Linked DNA regions of Sus scrofa. The protein of the gene in region 1 purifies or fractionates together with the protein of each later gene. This does not show direct contact. Links are inferred from orthologs where the notes say so. Each region holds a gene or a part of one and is shown on either strand. Other genes may lie near its edges.

Region 1 (6,138 bases):
CTAGATCCTTAACCCACTGAGCTACCAGGGAACTCCCTTTTCCAGTGTTTGCTAGGTAGGCTTTTTTACCGTGTCCATCAGATAGGTCTTGCCTATCTCTGGGGAAGTTTAATGTAGGCAGTTTATCTTTAAGCTGATATTATAAACAGGATCTACTGCTTCCATTTTATTTTCATATAAGAAAGCTATTGATTTTTTCATGCTAAGTTACCAATCAACCACTTGCTGAATTCTTATTTCTAATGGAAATAATTTGGCCTCCCACTTTCCAAACTGTGTACCTCGTTTCTTTCACTTGCTAATTGCATTGGCTAGTGCTTTCAAAATGATGTTGAATAATTGACAGAGTAGAAATGCATGTTTACTAACATGCTTTTGGTTTCCAATTTGGGAAATTTGTACCAATGCGATCCGATATAAGCAATCCACAGATCGCAGTGGAACCACTGACTTAGAGCAATTTCATCCATTTTTTTTCTTCTATCTGAGCTTGAGCTATTTCCATGCTCCCAAGAGTATGTGGGAATATGAGGTCCATAACATTTCCTAAGATTCTGTGAGCCAGGCTGGATCCCCTTATCGATGGGGAAGGGTGTCCCAGCAGTGGTGACTCCTTGTGCAATCTTTGGCCATAGCCCTAGTTATTTGTGCTCAGGATGTCTAAGATTGACTGCTCCCACCTGGGTGCCGTTCTTATCACCTCATCCTGTACTTGGCACAAAGCAGACTCTCAGATGAAGCACATCTGTCTCTTATTATTCACATCTTCCTATTTCTCTGACTAGAGGTCTGGTTCTTAGAGATTCCCATCAGCCTTCTCCTGTCACCTTCCTTGAGTGCCAGCTTTTCCTTGTCTTTTTAGGATCACACCTGTGGCATATGGAAGTTCCCAGGCTAGGGGTCAAATCAGAGCCGCAGCTGCTGGCCTACGCTACCACCACAGCAACCCCAGTTGAAGCCACATCTTCGACACAGCAACGCTGGATCCCTAACCCACTAAGCAGGGCCAGGGATGGAACCCGCATCCTCATGGATACCAGTTGGGTTCATAACCTGCTGAGCCACGGTGGCAAGTCCCTTGAGTGCTGATTAGGGAGCTCACAGATTGACCAGCCAGTCTCTGCTGGAGACGTTACTTTGTACATAAGATTATCAAATAACCGAGATCTCCCAAGTTATCATAGCAATGCGGTTTTTCAGGAAAGGATTAACCAAGACACAGGTGGTTGAAAATGTATTTATTTTTCTTCAAATGATTTTTTTTCTTCAAGCAATAAATAAAAACAGACATGTTGACTTTTCTAAAAAACAAAACCAAACAACAAAATCCCCTAAACTATATACATCCTACAGAAATACAAGCATATCAAATGTAGAAATGACGTCACTCTGAAAGATGGGGCTATTTACAGAAGTTACAAGTATTGCATTGCTCTGTCTTGAAGAAGCCTCTTTCTCCTGTGACTCAAAAACTTTAAGGAAGGGCAGGGTCTCCCCCACACACACCGAGGGGAAGAGGGGTATCCTCAAAGAGGTGGCACTACTCTCCATCCTTGAGAGACAAGGCAACTTCCAAGGAAGAACACCAACATCCAGCCACTATACTCAGTTCCCCCAAAGATCAGCTGACTTGAAAGGAGCTTATGTGAGAGTGCCTCTTTCGGGAGGCCCTATGTCCTTGAGTTCCTGACAGAAAATATCTCATCCCTCGGCAGAACTGAGACTGGCCTGGAGCCCACGCTGAATTAGTGACAAACCCCTGGCAAAACAAGCAAGCTCTGGGTTACAAAGCCTTGGCCTCCAAGACTGCCTTGCCACCCAACATGGCCCAAACTTGGTTACACAGGGAGAGCATCACTTGGGGAGCTTTGAAACCTACTGATGCCTGGGTCCCTCCTCTGGACATCCTGGTGCACTTGGGATAGCCTGGGATAGCCTGCAGGCAGGCTTTCTAAGCTCCCCAGGTGAAGCTAATGCGTAGCCAAGGTGAACCACCACCTAAGGGCTTGGTGGCCAATTCCAAACTAACAGCCCCCTTCTCCTCTCATCTGAATCACCATCCTACCTTCCTGTCCATCTTCCCAAGGATTTTACATTTTTTTTTCTCATGGTTCTCCAACATTGGGGAAAACCCTCTTGAATGGGGACATGAGGAAAATGGCCTAAGGACGCCATGACAGGCTGGCAGCTCCCACTCCAGGGGAAGGCTCCACCAATACCCTAAGGTCACACAGATGCCAGCCGGGAGGGAACTGGCAGCAGTCTTCAGTCTCCATAAAAGATCCAGTGAATCTACTGCCTTCGTAGTCAGCAGCACAGTCGATAATGGGTGAAAGTGGCAATGCTTTCTGACCGCTACAGAGATTTCGTATCACAGAAACCACTTCATGGGAGAGATGCCTATTGAAACACATTGGCCATTTGGACTGACCCTGCCATGCCATCTTCCTTAGAGCTATATTCCAAGTCATCAAAAAGAGGCTTCTGATGGGAGAATAGTGACCCCAAATCCCCGTTTCTAATCAAGCCTATTTCTTATTTCATTTCTAAAAGTTTGCGACTCCTGCTGTTATCAAGTACAAAGAAAATGGCTTTATAAATAGTGGTTTGACATTGAGATATAAGACGTGAATTGGAAAGCAGAGAAAAGACCTGGCTGGGCGGGTCCTGGGCTCCAACTGTCTGTGTGGTTGGAATCCAGTCTGGGAAAGCAGGATGCACACAGGTTTTGGCAAATGTACACTCATTCCACAAAAAGCAACTCACCCGAAGCTTCTTTTCCTCCCCCTCAAAGCAGTTCCTCTTTCAGACCTACCTGCCTGTTGGAACCCATATTTTTTCAGTTGTAGAATTCACTTAACCTCATTCATCACAAAACATAAAGCAACTTCCAGGAATCAAGGGGAAAGTCGGAATGTCCAGCTTGCCATCTCTAATAGGCCCATTGTCCAGGAACCCCAAGCCCCCGACATCTCATCCCTAATGATTCAGCTAAGCAGCTCCCAGGAGGGAAGGCTTTTCTAAAAACAGGAAGTGGGAACTCTGGCCACACCCAAGACAGGGCTAGACAAAAGTCAGGGCAAATGAGGCCAACACAGGTTCATGTTTATGGAAGGAAATGTAGGGAACCCGGTCCTGCCTGGGAGGCGGGGATGAGAAGGAGCATTCCAACACTGTCCCGACATTGAGGCTTGAAGTTATTTATGGGTGAGCAAGAATGTTCATCACGTAGATCCTCAGAGGGCTTAAAAAACAAACACAAAAACACACACAAAAAAAAACATGCTCTCATTTCTAGACAAGTTTGCAATTACCTCTAACCTGGCACTCCTAACAGCACTGTTCCACAATACTACAAATTAAATAACACGTGGTGTGTTCCCTCCTCCCTCCCCCAAAGCCCACCCCACCTCCTCTTTCTCCAAAAGCCATTCCTCCATTTGGAAAGGCCCTGAAAATGCCAATATTCCAAGAAAGGATCTCAAACGGCCTCGGAGCGCCCCTGGTGTCCCTCACAGAAGCCCTGAAGCCAGCTCCCACGCAAATGAGTCTGCCCCACTCCTCACTCACGCCCTCTTGCCGACCTAGATTTCCACAGGACCTGAAATGGGGTGTCCACTCCCCTTTTTATACAAGACAGCCTTTACAATATTCATCTAAACCAGGAATTTTAAGAACACGAGAATTCGTTGGTATACTTTCATTCCAAGCAAACCCCCTAAAATTAAAAACTCCGATTTATGCAAAGGAGAAAAGAGATGGTGCTTCCACTTCCAAAAGGATCCATTGCGGGCCTCTCATTAGCGGGGTTCCCCAGTGGCCTTGCCAAACGATTCACTGTAGGAACATCTGAACTGCACCCAATTTTTTTGGAGCACCTTATATGATATGGCATTTATCACAGAGGATACGCAGATTCTCAGGCAGGGAAAAATGCTTCCACAGCTACACTGGGTTACTGATCACCAGAAGCAGCTGTATTGTTGCATCAGTGGTCCATGCGCCGAAAAACCAACTTCAAAAGTACAGTAACTCTCCGAATCGGTGGACGTGGTATCCGCAGGTTTCTGAGGGTGCAGAATCTACAGATTTCCGCAGAAGGAGGGCAGGTGGGCTAGAATCAATCCTCCACGGATTGGGAAAGGCGACTGTAATGAAAAAGCAATCCCTTCTTTTTTTCCTCCCACCCCCTCACCCTGCCGCTTCTCAGCGGTAACAAATGCACGTTGACCATCACACTAACCTGTACACACCACTGACTTCCTAACAGCTTTGCCGTCCGCCTGCCACTGAGTTCCGCTGATCTGCATCCAGGTAAATCTATTCTAAATTCACTGTCACTGGACTTTTTTACTTACATACACTGAGGAAATTCTTAATAAATACCTTTATTTATTACCAAGTATAATTATTCATCTGTGGTTGGTGACTAAAAAAGGAAAACCGTGTCCTAAAAGACTTCCTTAAAAAAAAAAAAAAAAAAAAAAAATCCTGTAATTACGACAAAAGGACCAAGCACACAGAACCAGGCACTTCTGGCAAACTTATCTTCGCCTTGTCCCTTCCCTCCCCTCCCCTCCCCCCTTAATAAAACTGGGTGGGCACATTTGCCAGGATCTGTGGGTTTCATAACTTCAAGCCTTACTGCTTAAAAAAAAATGAGGTAAGAAATTCCTATCTGAAAAGTAAAACTGACACACAAACCAAAACCCAGGTCTTCCCTGCCTGCCGAGGAAGCCGTTATTGCTCTAAGTTGGAGTGTTTTGCCTGTTGGCATTAAATATGTATTCGAGGTCCTTATTGCCAATCTAGCTGGCCCCACGTTTGGCCAAAGAGAGATGGATGGAAGGAGCTTTGTTGTCTACCCCCTGCTGGTCAGTCCTGCCTTGCTGCCCACACAGGGGCCACCCGGGCTGGACAGAGAGCCGGCTCTAGCAACTGGGGGAGGTGGTGATGGGGCTGTGCAGGTAGGGCAGGCTGCTGGGGGTCGGGTGCACCCCCACGGAGACCGGGAAGCTGAAGACAAATTGCGACGTGGGGGTGGGGGTGGCCTTGCCCCTCTCGCGCAGGGGGCCCGATGGGCTGGCGGCCTCCACCGCGCAGGACGTGGCCAGCACCTGTGATTCGAACTGCAGCAGCTGCCCCATGAAGCTGAAGTTGGGCGAGATGATGCTCCGCCGCTGCTTGACGAACTCAAAGGCCTCCTCCAGCCTCACGCGCTTCTTCATCATCAGGTAGGCCAGGCAGATGGTGGCTGAGCGGGAGATGCCAGCCTGGCAGTGCACTAGCACGCGCCCGCGGCACTCCTTCACCGCATCTGGGGCAGAGAGTGGGGTGCCATTAGGCCCCGGAGTCCCCACCCCTCAGCCAGGACCAGGGTGCGGGGGTCAATTTGTTGGATGCCCACCCCACCTGCTGCCAAAGCACTGAAGGAATAGCCAGCCCAGGCCCAGGCCAGAGAAGAGGAAACCTACGGGGAAGGGCCTCTGGAATTCCACCCCTTCTAGGGCACTTTGCAGACCAAACCAAACAAATGTACTAGCTTAGGTGCTAAAGCCTCCTCAATCCCAGAACACCTTCTTTAAAGGGTTTTCATTTGCAGGAACAAAAACAAAGACCTGACTGTGCCTTTGCCTTCCTCCCCAGGCCCCAAGTCTTTTCCTTGCAGCCCCAGAAGTCCAAAGAAAAGGTTCTTGGCTCCATAAGCTAGCGGCACCTGCTCTTCCTGTAAGTCTGTCTTCCTGTCCCTGACACAACATCCCAGGGCAAGCCTTCCCCCTAGGATGAGGGGAAACAGGCAGCCTCTAGATATAGCCCATCCTGAATCCCTCCTTCCACACACCAGTTATAAGTGGTTCCCTCTCCCCTCCCGCCTCCTTCCCCCCACCCCAAGGCCTTGGAGCCTGCACTCTGGCCAGAGCCAGCCTACCAATGTACTCGATGGCCTCCATGAACCAGGAGCTGATGTCGGCCTTGTGGTTGTCCTCCACGGGGATGCACTTGTACTGATAGTGTCCTTCAAAGTGGTTCGGGCAGTCGGAGGACACGTTCAACAAGGCTGTGATCCCCAGGGCATCCAGCATGTCTCTCCGGGCCGCGTGATAGGCGCTGCCGAGGTAGAGGAAGGGAAGGATCTCC
Region 2 (6,633 bases), on another chromosome or scaffold:
GGGCCTAGGCTAACTCATCCACACCCAAGGATTCAAGTCACCACTATCTTGTGATTCATAAGTGACTCATATCTTATTCACCTGATTCCAGCTCTGGATACCCAGCTGCTAACTTGGTATCTCTTTGGGGCAGATCAAAAGCCTTCAAACTAGCTGCTCTCACAACCTTTCCATTCAATCCCTGTCCTCTTCCAAGATTCGCATCTCAGTGAATCAATATTGCATTCATCTTTGGCCACAAGCAAGAAATCTATGATTTTCCTTGATGACTACCTTTCCTTCACTGCCCACCTAATCCATCAGCAAGTTCTGTGTATTGGATCTCCTAAAATGTCTTCAGATCCTTACTCTTACTGTTTCCACGACTATCACCCTAGACCAAGCCTCTGCCGTCCGTTATCTAGACTACTCCTATATCTAACTGGCCTCCTTCCAACAAGGAATCCTTTTAAGATGCCATTCTGACCATGCCATCCCCTTTGCTGAAGCATGTCAGGAGCTTCCCATTGCACTTAGGATAAAGACAAGAGTTTCAGCATAGGTAGTATGGCTGTACTAGAATTGGTCCTTTTCCACCCTTCCAAACTTCATCTCATAGCTCCTTCTTCCTTGCTCTTCCACCAGCACCTGGCTTTCCTCAGTTTTTACCTCTGTCTAAAATATTTTCTGTCTAGTTGAATCTATTCTTAGTTCAAGAGGCAGGTCCTCAAGGAAGACTTTCCTGGCTTTATTAACTCTATCAGTTTGTCCCATAATTCTATATATGCATATAAATTTGTATTATGATGCAGTGATCATTTTGTATTTGTTTACTGTTATTTCTATTGTAATATAAGTCTATAAGCTCCATCCTATTGCCAATGTTAGCACAGTACCGGGCACAGAATGGGTATGTAGTATGTATTTCTTTAAGAAACAAAGGAAGGAAATAAAGAAGCCCTGAGAGGGAGGGAGGAATTGGGGAGAAAATGAATAAATGAACATGCACATTAATGCTTCATTTCAGAATCACTGGAAATAGGCCAGCCCAACATAACATGGAAAATAATCTACATGACTTCATTCATTTCTTCAACAAATATCTGGAGTTCCCATCCTAGCTCAGTGGTTATTGAACCCAACTAGTATCCATGAGGATGCAGGTTCGATTCCTGGCCTCACTCAGGGGATTAAGGATTTGGTGTTGCCGTGAGCTGTGGTGTAGGCTGGCAGCTACAGCTCTGATTAGACCCCTAGCTTGGGAACCTCCATATGCCATGGGTGTGGCCCTAAAAAAAGATCCCCCCAAAAAAACCCCGAAATATGTATTTTTCATTATTAAAATAATATACTTTTTTCTGATTATGAACATAACTTGGAAACCATGGAAAAATACTCAAAGTACAAGGAGAATCAATTTACAGCTCAATGATGAATTACTGTTAAAATAAGTTGTCATGTTTCCAGTTTTTTCCTTTTATACACAGTATATAAGCAGGATCATCATCTAACTATCTATATATATAATATACATAGGCTTGATTCTTTCTCTTAATGAAGTATGATGAACATTCTCCTGTGTGGTTAAGAATCCCTTGAACACACGGCATTTAAATTGCTAAAATGTGTTCTTTTGCAAACATGCATGTAATATAGACATCTTTCCACTGGTCAGATATTTAAGGACTTGCCAATTTATCACTTCTACAACAAACATATACATGCTTTGAGGGGCCCAAAGACAAATAGGGCAATGCATGGAATCTTGTAGGAAGTGGATCTGGGGAAAACAGGAGGCAGCTTTTTCCAGGTGGCTGAAGAGAATATTTGCTCGTGGGTTGTTAGGCCTGGAGTAGATGTCCTCAGAATGGGACGTACTGTCAGTCAAGGTAAAGAGCCCTCCGTCACTCAGATGCTTGACCAGGCCGGGGTGCCTGCTCCCTGGGCGGGTCTGGCCTAAGCGCACTGACCTTCAAACCCTGAGGCAAAGAACCCCAGAGGCTTTGCCTAGGAATAGCGTACTGCCCAGGTACACATACTAGGCTCTCGGGCCATATGCCGCCACGTGCCAGGATCAGGGCCCCGCCCCATCCAGCTTCCCGCCACGCCCCTCACAGTCCGCATTCAGAGGCTCTCCCCGCAGCTCCGCCTCCCGGCGACCTCCGCAAGTCCTCCCGGCCCCCTAGAGTAGCCCCTCCCCCGGATGCGGGCCCCGCCCCCGCAATCCGGGCCCCGGGGCTGCCCCGCCCCGCGGCCCGTTCGCGAAGCGCGGGGGCGGGGCCCTGCGCGATGACGTGGGCGGGCGTGCGCCGTGACGGGCAGCGTCTCTGTTACTCAGCTGAGCGGCCGAGGCCGGACGACGCTGCCCGGAGCGCGGAGCCGCGAGCAGCGCTGGGTAACGGCCGCGGCGACCGCCGGGACGGCGCCAGTCTCCACCGCCTAGGTTTTCTGTTGCCGTTCGCTGCGCTGCCAGGTGAGTGTGGTGAGAGCTTGAGGGCCAGAGCCGGCGGCCCCGCGGTGTTTATGTTATTGTGCCGCCGCCGCCGCCACCGCCGCCGCCTCTCTTCAGCCGTGACCCCCTCCCGGGAGTGGGGGCGGGAGCTCGCGGCGGGCGGGGGGCGCGCGGCCCGCGTGGGTGGCGCGGGAACAATAGCTGCGGGATAGGCGGGGGCCGCCCTGGGGGCGTGAGGCTGCGGGACCCTGGCGCGCCCCGCCTGCCCCCCACTCGCCCCCCGCCTGCCTCTCCAGCTCCGCCCGTCGGTCCTCAGGCGTTCTCCTAGCGCGGGTCCGGCGTCCGCGTATGGAGGGATAAATGAAACGGGAGGTTGGTGGCAAGTTCTGAAATACTTCGGCGAAGGTCGGAACGGAGGCGCCTAGGCGGCCCGCCGCGCCCTGGCTGCCTTCCCCGGCAGTGGAGAGCCGGGGAAAGCGTTCCGGTGGCCGGGACCCGACGCCTGCCCGGAGCCCACGGGAACAGTGTTTTGTTTCTCGGTGGTTTCTTTGTGCTTATGTTGTGGGCGAACGCAGGCGGCGGCGCAGAAAGACTGAGGTGGCCTTCAGCAGGGCTGCGAGGGAGAGCCCGGGCCGGTGGCTTGGGCGGGAGGTGCCCGTCAGGCTCGGCGCGAGCTTCAGTGGTCAGCGCGCATTTCTCATGAGGGTCACTCGGTGGTGACCTTTTGACTTTTTCACCCCACCCTCCCTTCTCTTTGTCTTGCACTTCTGTTCACAATCCTTAGGTCGTAGAACCGGGTCTATTTCAAGGTACCGTGATGAACACAAAAGTGTTTTATTTTCATTTTAATTTCTGAAAGTTTCCTATCATGTGTTTACTGTGGACTTAATAACATGTTGACTGCACGTTATCAGACAATGTCAATTGCTTACTATTTTTACCTCTGAAATTCAGTGATCTTTCCCGAAGAATTCTGGTCTGTCAGTCCATTGTGTTTTAAGATAAGCATCCAGCAAGTACCCCCTTGGTAATTAGAACATCTGTTTATTTCATTCATTCATTCATTCATTCATTCAACAACTGTTCAGTACTCTACCCAGATGGAGAGTTTGAGGGTAAAGACAAATATCCTTTAATGGAAGAAGATACTTTGAATGGATGTACCTTTAAATGAGATTTAAATGAAATTATGTAAGTAATGTGTGTTAAAGAAGGTATAGCTATATTCTGGGTCATTTTACTGTTTTGGTAGTACATCTGGAATGTTAGGCGTAACCTTAAATGTATTAGGAAGTAGAGTTATATTTGGTCTAAATGTACAGCTTTCATGTATTTCTTTACAGTCATGTGTAATGTTTACTTCAGAATCCTCTGCTGTGGGTTAAGCCTAGGAGGTTAGATGCTGTGAGTGAACATGTTTAGTGCTGTACCTGACATAACCAAGCAGTCAGAATGGGACTTCCTTCAGGACAGGCCTGTCTTGGATCTGTGTCTCCAACACCTAGCCTGGAATATAGTAAGTGTTAAATAAAACTCAGATCACTGAAAAGCTCTTTACAATTGATAATATTGAAACTCAAGCCTTAACAAAAAGCATTTAATGTTCTTCGTAAAGTTTTGGAAGCCTCATGCAAACGGGTCACATCCAGATGGCTAAATGATCAGTTCGTATATATATTGTCTGTCACAACAGTAAGGGTTTTTGAATCACTTCAGTATCAATTTTTTTTCCTTATTACTTCTGAACTATCCTAAACTTAAATCTTGCTAAAATATTTTTTACTCTGTGTGTCTGTGTATGTGATATGTATATTTCAGTGATATTTCAGTAAGCCTCTAAAATGATTATTTATCCTTTTGTGAATATTACTTGAAATGTTTCTCGATACTCCTTTAAGTGGAAAAGTTAGACCAAAAGAAACAAATGGCATAAAAGTTTTATTAGAAATCCTTAATATCTAATTACATTTTATTAAAGTTTGTTAGAAATGTTTTGGACTAATAGTATTAGGCATATGGGTCTAAAACTCAAAATAATATTTATCCACAGTACATGTCTTTTCTTCTCCCTACTTAATATGTTTTAGCACTTATTTTGGATATGAAAGAATTTGAGGTGAGCTTAAGAGTGCAAATAAAGAAATAAAGTGATACTTTATTAAGATAGGGATGAAAATCTTGAGATACTAAACTTTTATTGCTTTACCTAGTTAAAGTATGTTAAATTCCAGTAAGGGTTACTGATACAAATCCTCTGGTCAGGCTTTAGGTGACAAACCCAAAGTGTTTTTGCTTTGTTTTCTAAACTCTGTTGGTTTTAAAGAATAACAGCTTTTTCAAGATATTATTCACATGCCATAAATTTATCCTTTTAGAGTGTGCTTCAATGGTTTTTAAATGTATTCACAAAATTATGCATTGATCACCTCTAATTCCAGGACATTTCATTACCTCCAAGAAGAAACCCCACACCCATCAGTAGCCACTCCCTGTTCAACTTTACCTTATTTTTAAAGGAAGAGATAGCACTGATTTTGTTTTAGTAAGTGTATGCATTAATGAATTTGAAAAGGACTCCTTCTAAGTATCCTGGCAGAGTGGGAAACTTTATCCTTCATATTACTTTATTTATTTTTTGTTGTTGTTGTTGTTGTTGTTGTTATTGTTGCTATTTCTTGGGCCGCTCCCGCGGCACATGGAGGTTCCCAGGCTAGGGGTCGAATCGGAGCTGTAGCCACCGGCCTACGCCAGAGGCACAGCAACTCGGGATCCGAGCCGCGTCTGCAACCTACACCACAGCTCACGGCAACGCCGGATCGTTAACCCACTGAGCAAGGGCAGGGATCGAACCCGCAACCTCATGGTTCCTAGTCGGATTCGTTAACCACTGCGCCACGACGGGAACTCCCCTTCATATTACTTTAAATCCTGTGAGAAAGGCCACTTGAAAGGGAAATTCGTTTAAGAACAAATTTACCAAAATTAATGAAATTAGGTACTTAAATTTTGTTATTTATTAATTTAGTTAGTTATTTCTGTGCCCATGCCATGTGGAAGTTCCTCGGCCAGTGACTGAACCCAAGCCACAGCTGTAACCAGAGCCACAAGCAGTGGCAATGCTGGATCCTTAATCCACTGAGCCACCAAGGAGCTCCTAATCTTTAAATTTTTGTTTGCTGAGTGCCTAATATTGTGGAAATAACCTGTGTTTATACTCAGTGCTCACCAAAACTACTTGAAGTAATTTATTAAGTGACTAGTCACAAACTATCCTAGTGCCAATTAAGAGGTTGTTGAATAGAAGCCTGATTCTTAATGTCTTGCTTTGTCATTGAGTTGAGTTTTGAGACATATTTGTGTCATTTAAATAGTTGAGATGCTTTGTTGCATATGTATATAAAACAATGTCTGATTTTAAGATGCCAGCTCTCTAGAGGTCTCTGATCAAGTCAGTAGTATGGATGGTAGTCTCTCTGATTCATGTAGAGCAGGGAAGTCATCAAAGCCACATAGCTTTAGATGTAAATCATTTGTCTCTCTGAGCTGTGATGCTTATTGTCTTAGTCATGAGCTCTTTCCATGAACATTTAGTAGCTTTTTCTTCTTGCTTTAAGGCAGATTATTTGAACTTTGATTTCAGAAATGAGTCAACAAACTTTACTACGTAACAGGTGACAGGAGTATTAAAATAAGCTGTTCTATCATTCAGGGTCATAGGTGGAAGTAGACCTGTCTAGGAATCAGACCTAGGTTCATTTTTTAGTTCTGTCATCTGGACCTTGTCATCAGCAAGTTATAGAGGTGTAGGCAGGCAGCGTACCTTTTTGGTTAGAACTATAAACTGACACTGTTGGAATTTTTCTTCTTTTTAAATAGAAAAGTTGTTCCCCAGATAGATGGTTCTTCAGAAAACATACTAGGACAAAAGGAGTCCTTCTTGGGTGAAAGTTAGATTTTTGTAATCTACAGAAGCAGAGAAAATTGTTGCATCAGATATTTTCTGTGATGGAGTTCCCATAGTGGCTCAGTGGTTAACGAACCTGACCAGTATCCATGAGGACGCAGGTTCAGTCCTTGGCCTTGCTCAGTGGGTTAAGGATCCGCCGTTGCCGTGAGCTGAGGTGTAGGCCGGTGGCTGCAGCTCTGATTGGACCCCTAACCTGGGAACCTCCATATGCCGTGGGTGAGGCCCTAAATTTTTT
Region 3 (4,961 bases), on another chromosome or scaffold:
TCTGTAATTTTATTTTAAAATGGTTCAGCAAAAAATATGTGTGTACATAGATAAATATAGAAGGATAATTGTTGGATATGGGTGTGAGCATATGAGTATTGGCTGTCCTATTATTTTGTATACGGAAATTTTTCATAGTGAAAATTTTAAAAACAAAATTTTCTTTTATCCAAATACCACGTCTCACCCACACACCCACATAAAATCCTCAGTTTGTTCATTATTTGGCAGTCCATTTGATGTATATTCATTTGCCTTAGGTTAGTAAATAAACAGTGAAAGGGGACAAAAAAGTGTGATACTAGCCCCACTCACCTCTTGTGGATTACTTCAGTTACAGACTGTCATTCTGATAGTTTGACTGCAGTGGGAGCAGTTCAACACTGACATTCCACAAACGTTTGCTCATACATAATCTGTTGTTTTTTTAAATTCTTCTTTAGTAATGTATTCTTTTTGTTTTGTTTTGTTTAGGGGCACACACTCAGCATATGGAGGTACCCATGCTAGGGGTCCAATTGGAGCTGTAGCCACCGGCCTACACCATAGCCACAGCAACGCAGGATCTGAGCCACATCTGCGACCTACACACAGCTCACAGAAACGCCGGATCCTTAACCCACTGAGCAAGGCCAGGGATCGAACCCGCAACCTCATGGCTCCTAGTTGGATTCATTTCCAATGTACTACAACAGGAACTCCTAGTAATGTATTCTTAAAAAATATAAAATCCGGAGTTCCCACTGTGATGCAATGGGATTGATGGTGTCTCTGCCAGACTGGGGACATGGGTGTGATCCCTGGGCTCGCTCAGTGGGTTAGGGATCCAGCATTGCTGCAGCTGTGGCATAGATCACAACTCTGGCTCAGATTCAATCCCTGGCCCAGGAACTCCTCATGCTGCTGGGCAGCCAAAAAAGAAAAGAAAGAAAAAATACAACATCCATCCATGCACGTGCACACATATATTTAAAAGAGGAAAGGGGGAGTTCTTGTCATGGCTCCGTGGTTAACGAATCCAACTAGGAACCATGAGGTTACGGGTTCAATCCCTGACCTTGCTCAGTGTGTTAAGGATCGGGCATTGCGATGAGCTGTGGTATAAGTCACAGATGCGGCTCAGATCCCGAGTTGCCATGGCTCTGGCGTAGGCCAGTGGCTACAGCTCCGATTCGACCCCTAGCCTGGGAATCTCTATGTGCTGTGGGTGCAGCCCTAGAAAAGACAAAAAAGACAAAAACAAACAAACATAAAAGAGGAAAGGGGAGTTCTCGTTGTGGCTCAGTGATAATGGACCCAACTAGTATCCACGAGGTTCAAGGTTCCATCCCTGGCCTTGCTCAGTGGGTTAAGGATCCAGTGTTGCCATGAGCTGTGGTGTAGGTTGTAGACCCAGCTCAGATCCCTCGTTGCTGTGGCTGTGGCCTAGGCTGGCAGCTACAGTTCCCATTCAACTCCTAGCCTGGGAACTTCCATGTGTTGCAGGTGTGTCCCTAAAAAGACCAAAAAAAAAAAAAAAAAATAAAAGAGGAAAGGAGTAACATCCCAGAATTGAAGGAGAATTCTTTGTTTTGGTGTAAAAGGTCAAAACTGTGTTTTGCTTAATAAAGCATACATTTTTGGCAGTGTGTTAAAAACTCTTTTTTCCTTCCAATCTGCATCACTGATAGCTGTTGACTTGCTGGAGAAGATGCTTGTTTTGGACTCAGATAAGAGAATTACAGCAGCCCAAGCCCTTGCGCATGCCTACTTTGCTCAGTACCATGATCCTGATGATGAACCAGTGGCTGATCCTTACGATCAGTCTTTTGAAAGCAGGGACCTCCTTATAGATGAATGGAAAAGTAAGTCTGAGCATGATGAACACGTAGCTTTAAAAATCTTTGCCAGGTGAACCACAAACCAAAAGCTGTCAGTGGGGGAGGGCAGGGGGGTGGGGGGTGGAGGTGCGGACTCCTGGTTAAATCCAACTTGTTAAACCTTGTCGTTAGGTCTCTAATGCAGAATGAGTATGTTCCTCTGATGGAAACTGTCTGTTGTAGATGATGACACTCTGGACCTTTGAGATGCTTCTGTCTGGTCTGATTTTGTGCACAGCCCCTCACGTCTGCATAGAACTTTGAGGTTCTCAGAATTTTTGCATTTATACCATCTTTCCCAGCTAAGTAGGGGATAGGGTGCATTTACAGTTTTATAATTGATAGAACTTGGGTGAAGAAAGTTAACATCTTAACTGTTACCTTAGACCTAATTAGGGACACAGCCAGAAATAGAACCCAGGTCTCCTGTGCTCAGTTTCATAGTCTCTCCATAAAACACACATTCAGAAAACTCCAGTGAAATTTCAAAAGCCAGGACTATCTGTTGCTACAGCAAATGGGATTACTACGTTATTCTCAAGCATCTTCAGAGAGTTTTAAAGAGGAGGCACTGGATGATTAAAGAAGCAATAAAGGATGCTTCTCTTGTATGTATCCTTGAACTTCTGTGGAATCACATGTTCCATCAGGATATCACACACAAACGGTGAGGCAGTTATTTGAAGTGGCCCATGGAACCACTAGTCTGGACAGGGAGGAAGGATCTTGAGCTTAGAAGTTAGGGTGCTTGCCAACAAAATGAATAGTCCGAACTTTCACGTCCTCCTTTTCCTTCCTGATTTCTAGGCCTGACCTACGATGAAGTCATCAGCTTTGTGCCGCCACCCCTCGACCAAGAAGAGATGGAGTCTTGAGAATCCGGTTTCTGTTCTGCTGATCCCACTTCACTGTGAGGGGAAGGCCTTTTCATGGGAACTCTCCGAATATCATTCAAGTGCCTCTTGTTGCAAAGATTTCCTCCGTGGTGGAAGGGGGGGTGTGTGCGTGCCCATGTGTGTGTGTGTGTCTGTCTGTCTGACTTTGTGGGAGGGTAAGAGATTATGAGCAAACTATGATCACAGTGACTTTACGTGGAGCGACCCCTGCTCCGTGGCAGTCTCTGCTTGTTCTTTGTGAAAGTCAGCTGGGCAGCAGGAGCTGCCATCTTGTTAGGGCTTCTTAAAAGCAAAGTAAAAAATGTTAAACATCCCAGCCCCCAGTCATGCTTTTGCCATTTTGGCCTCTCCTGCGGCCACCCTTGTTGGTAGGGGTTTGGCTTGACCACACCCCGCAGAGGCACAGAAGAAGGCTCGCACCGTCTGTTCGCTTCACATCTGAAGCCGTCCCTTCAAAACGTCAGCCAAAAGGACTAGCTGGCTTCTCTGCGCTCATCTATGACTAACTTGCTTAGCATGATTCTCAGAACTCAACAGGTGTACCTAAAACTATAAATGTGTTTGTGCCTTAAAAGGAGAGAAGAACGTGTAGTTAAGAGTGCCATGGATGAAGTTCTGAGCCAGGCAAGTAGTCAGATTGTCAGACGGCCAGTTGTGAACCCGAAGTAACAAGGGAGCCTTCAGAGGCACAGTGTGTGCATGTGTGAGCATGCGTGTGTGTGCTTCCCTCTCCTTCCCCACCTCCCCACCAGGTGTCATTGCCATGCTCTGCTTTCCCCACCTTCAGTGCAGAGGTTTCTTAAGTACCGTTCTGGGTAGTCAGAAGCTGGTTCTTGCTGTCCGTGTACTTCCCGTGTGCTCTTTATTCCTAGCAGAGTGATGTGTTTTGCACGTCTTGCTATTGAGCATGCACTGCTGCTTGTCCTGTTCTCTTTGGGAGGCCTTGGTGCCAGGCAATTTGCCAGTGAAGACTTTGTGGGTAGTTCAGAACACGTGTCACCTCAGCTGATGCTGTGGGCAGGTGATGTCATCCTCTCTTCAGCCCCCAGTGCTATTTTGTGTTGAACACAATTGATACTCCAGGTGCTTTTGATGTGAAAACTATGAAGAAACAGAACAGGTGGATGTATAGCATTTTCATTCTTGCCATCTGGTTTTCAACAAATGACTTTGAGGGAGCTGTCAACCAGGAAAGATCAGGGCTTGTCCCAGGAATATCTCGGACTTTGGAAAACAGGTTGTTCTCTTCACTCCCATTAACCAATGCTAAGAAATTCTGAAAATCAACGTGAAAAATAAAAGCTCATGAGGCCAGAAACTCCTTTTCCTGTCTTTGTCTAAATATGGTTATTTTTTAAAAAAGTAATGAGGTGTCTTTTCCACCCTCCTTTGGAAAAAGGGTCTTCTTGGCAGCTTAACATTGACTTCTTGGTCTTGGTTTGAGGAGAAATAAATTTTGTTTCAGAATTTTGTATATTGCAGGAATCCTTTGAGAATGTGATTCCTTTTGATGGGGAGAGAGGGCAAATTATTTTAATATTTTGTATTTTCAACTTTATAAAGATGAAATATCCTCAGGGGTGGAGAAGAGTTGTTTTCATAATTTTCTGAATTTCAGGCATCTTGTGCTACATAAGGGCCCATGTATTTAAACCTTTTGTGAAAGAAGAAAGTGCAGAGCCATTTCCAGTGTTGACCAGGTGACAGAATCTTGTGTTTGGGCCAAGGTGTCTCCATTTCTGTCACAGTGCAGTGATACATGAACTCCAGAAGGACAGGGTAGAACCCCCAAGTCAACTGGAGCGAGAAGGAAGGAGGCAGCCAGTGGCCATCGCGCCTCACCTGGCATTTGCCCCCTCGTTAAAGGAAAGTGAATGCAAAGGCCTCATCTCCTCTGTATGCACTTCAGATCTTCACAGTCCACACAGCAAGATGAATTTTATCAGCCATGTTCTGCTGTAAATGCTAGTGTGATTTCCTACAGAAATACCACTCTGAATATTTTTTCATAAAGGTCTTTGCACAGGGGACCGTATCCATGCTAAGAGGCTGAATGCTCCAGGAGTCCGGACTCAGCTGGAGCCTGCGCCAGAGCTCCTTGGTTTCCGAGCATAATGCTCCATCTCCTGATTTCTCTGAACAGAAAGCAAAAGAGAGAATGAGGGAATATGCTATTTTATTTGTATTCATGATCTTGGCTGTAATC

What was found.
Region 2: the proteins of DUSP4 (region 1) and MAPK8 purify together in Homo sapiens (affinity purification with western blotting; 3 studies listed by BioGRID and IntAct, with this or other methods). This does not show direct contact. The link is inferred for Sus scrofa from reciprocal best matches to the Homo sapiens genes DUSP4 and MAPK8.
Region 3: the proteins of DUSP4 (region 1) and MAPK14 purify together in Homo sapiens (affinity purification with mass spectrometry; 3 studies listed by BioGRID and IntAct, with this or other methods). This does not show direct contact. The link is inferred for Sus scrofa from reciprocal best matches to the Homo sapiens genes DUSP4 and MAPK14.

Annotation. Positions count from the first base shown.
Region 1 is NC_010457.5:55,503,546-55,509,683, reverse strand, and holds the end of DUSP4 (dual specificity protein phosphatase 4), read right to left. Parts: coding exon 5,930-6,138; intron 5,318-5,929; coding exon 4,932-5,317; 3' UTR 1,224-4,931; downstream 1-1,223. UniProt on the Homo sapiens protein: Regulates mitogenic signal transduction by dephosphorylating both Thr and Tyr residues on MAP kinases ERK1 and ERK2.
Region 2 is NC_010456.5:88,986,641-88,993,273, forward strand, and holds the start of MAPK8 (mitogen-activated protein kinase 8), read left to right. Parts: upstream 1-2,273; 5' UTR 2,274-2,452; intron 2,453-6,633. UniProt on the Homo sapiens protein: Serine/threonine-protein kinase involved in various processes such as cell proliferation, differentiation, migration, transformation and programmed cell death.
Region 3 is NC_010449.5:31,856,520-31,861,480, forward strand, and holds part of MAPK14 (mitogen-activated protein kinase 14), read left to right. Parts: intron 1-1,670; coding exon 1,671-1,844; intron 1,845-2,042; exon of another isoform or gene 2,043-2,124; intron 2,125-2,666; coding exon 2,667-2,734; 3' UTR 2,735-4,961. UniProt on the Homo sapiens protein: Serine/threonine kinase which acts as an essential component of the MAP kinase signal transduction pathway.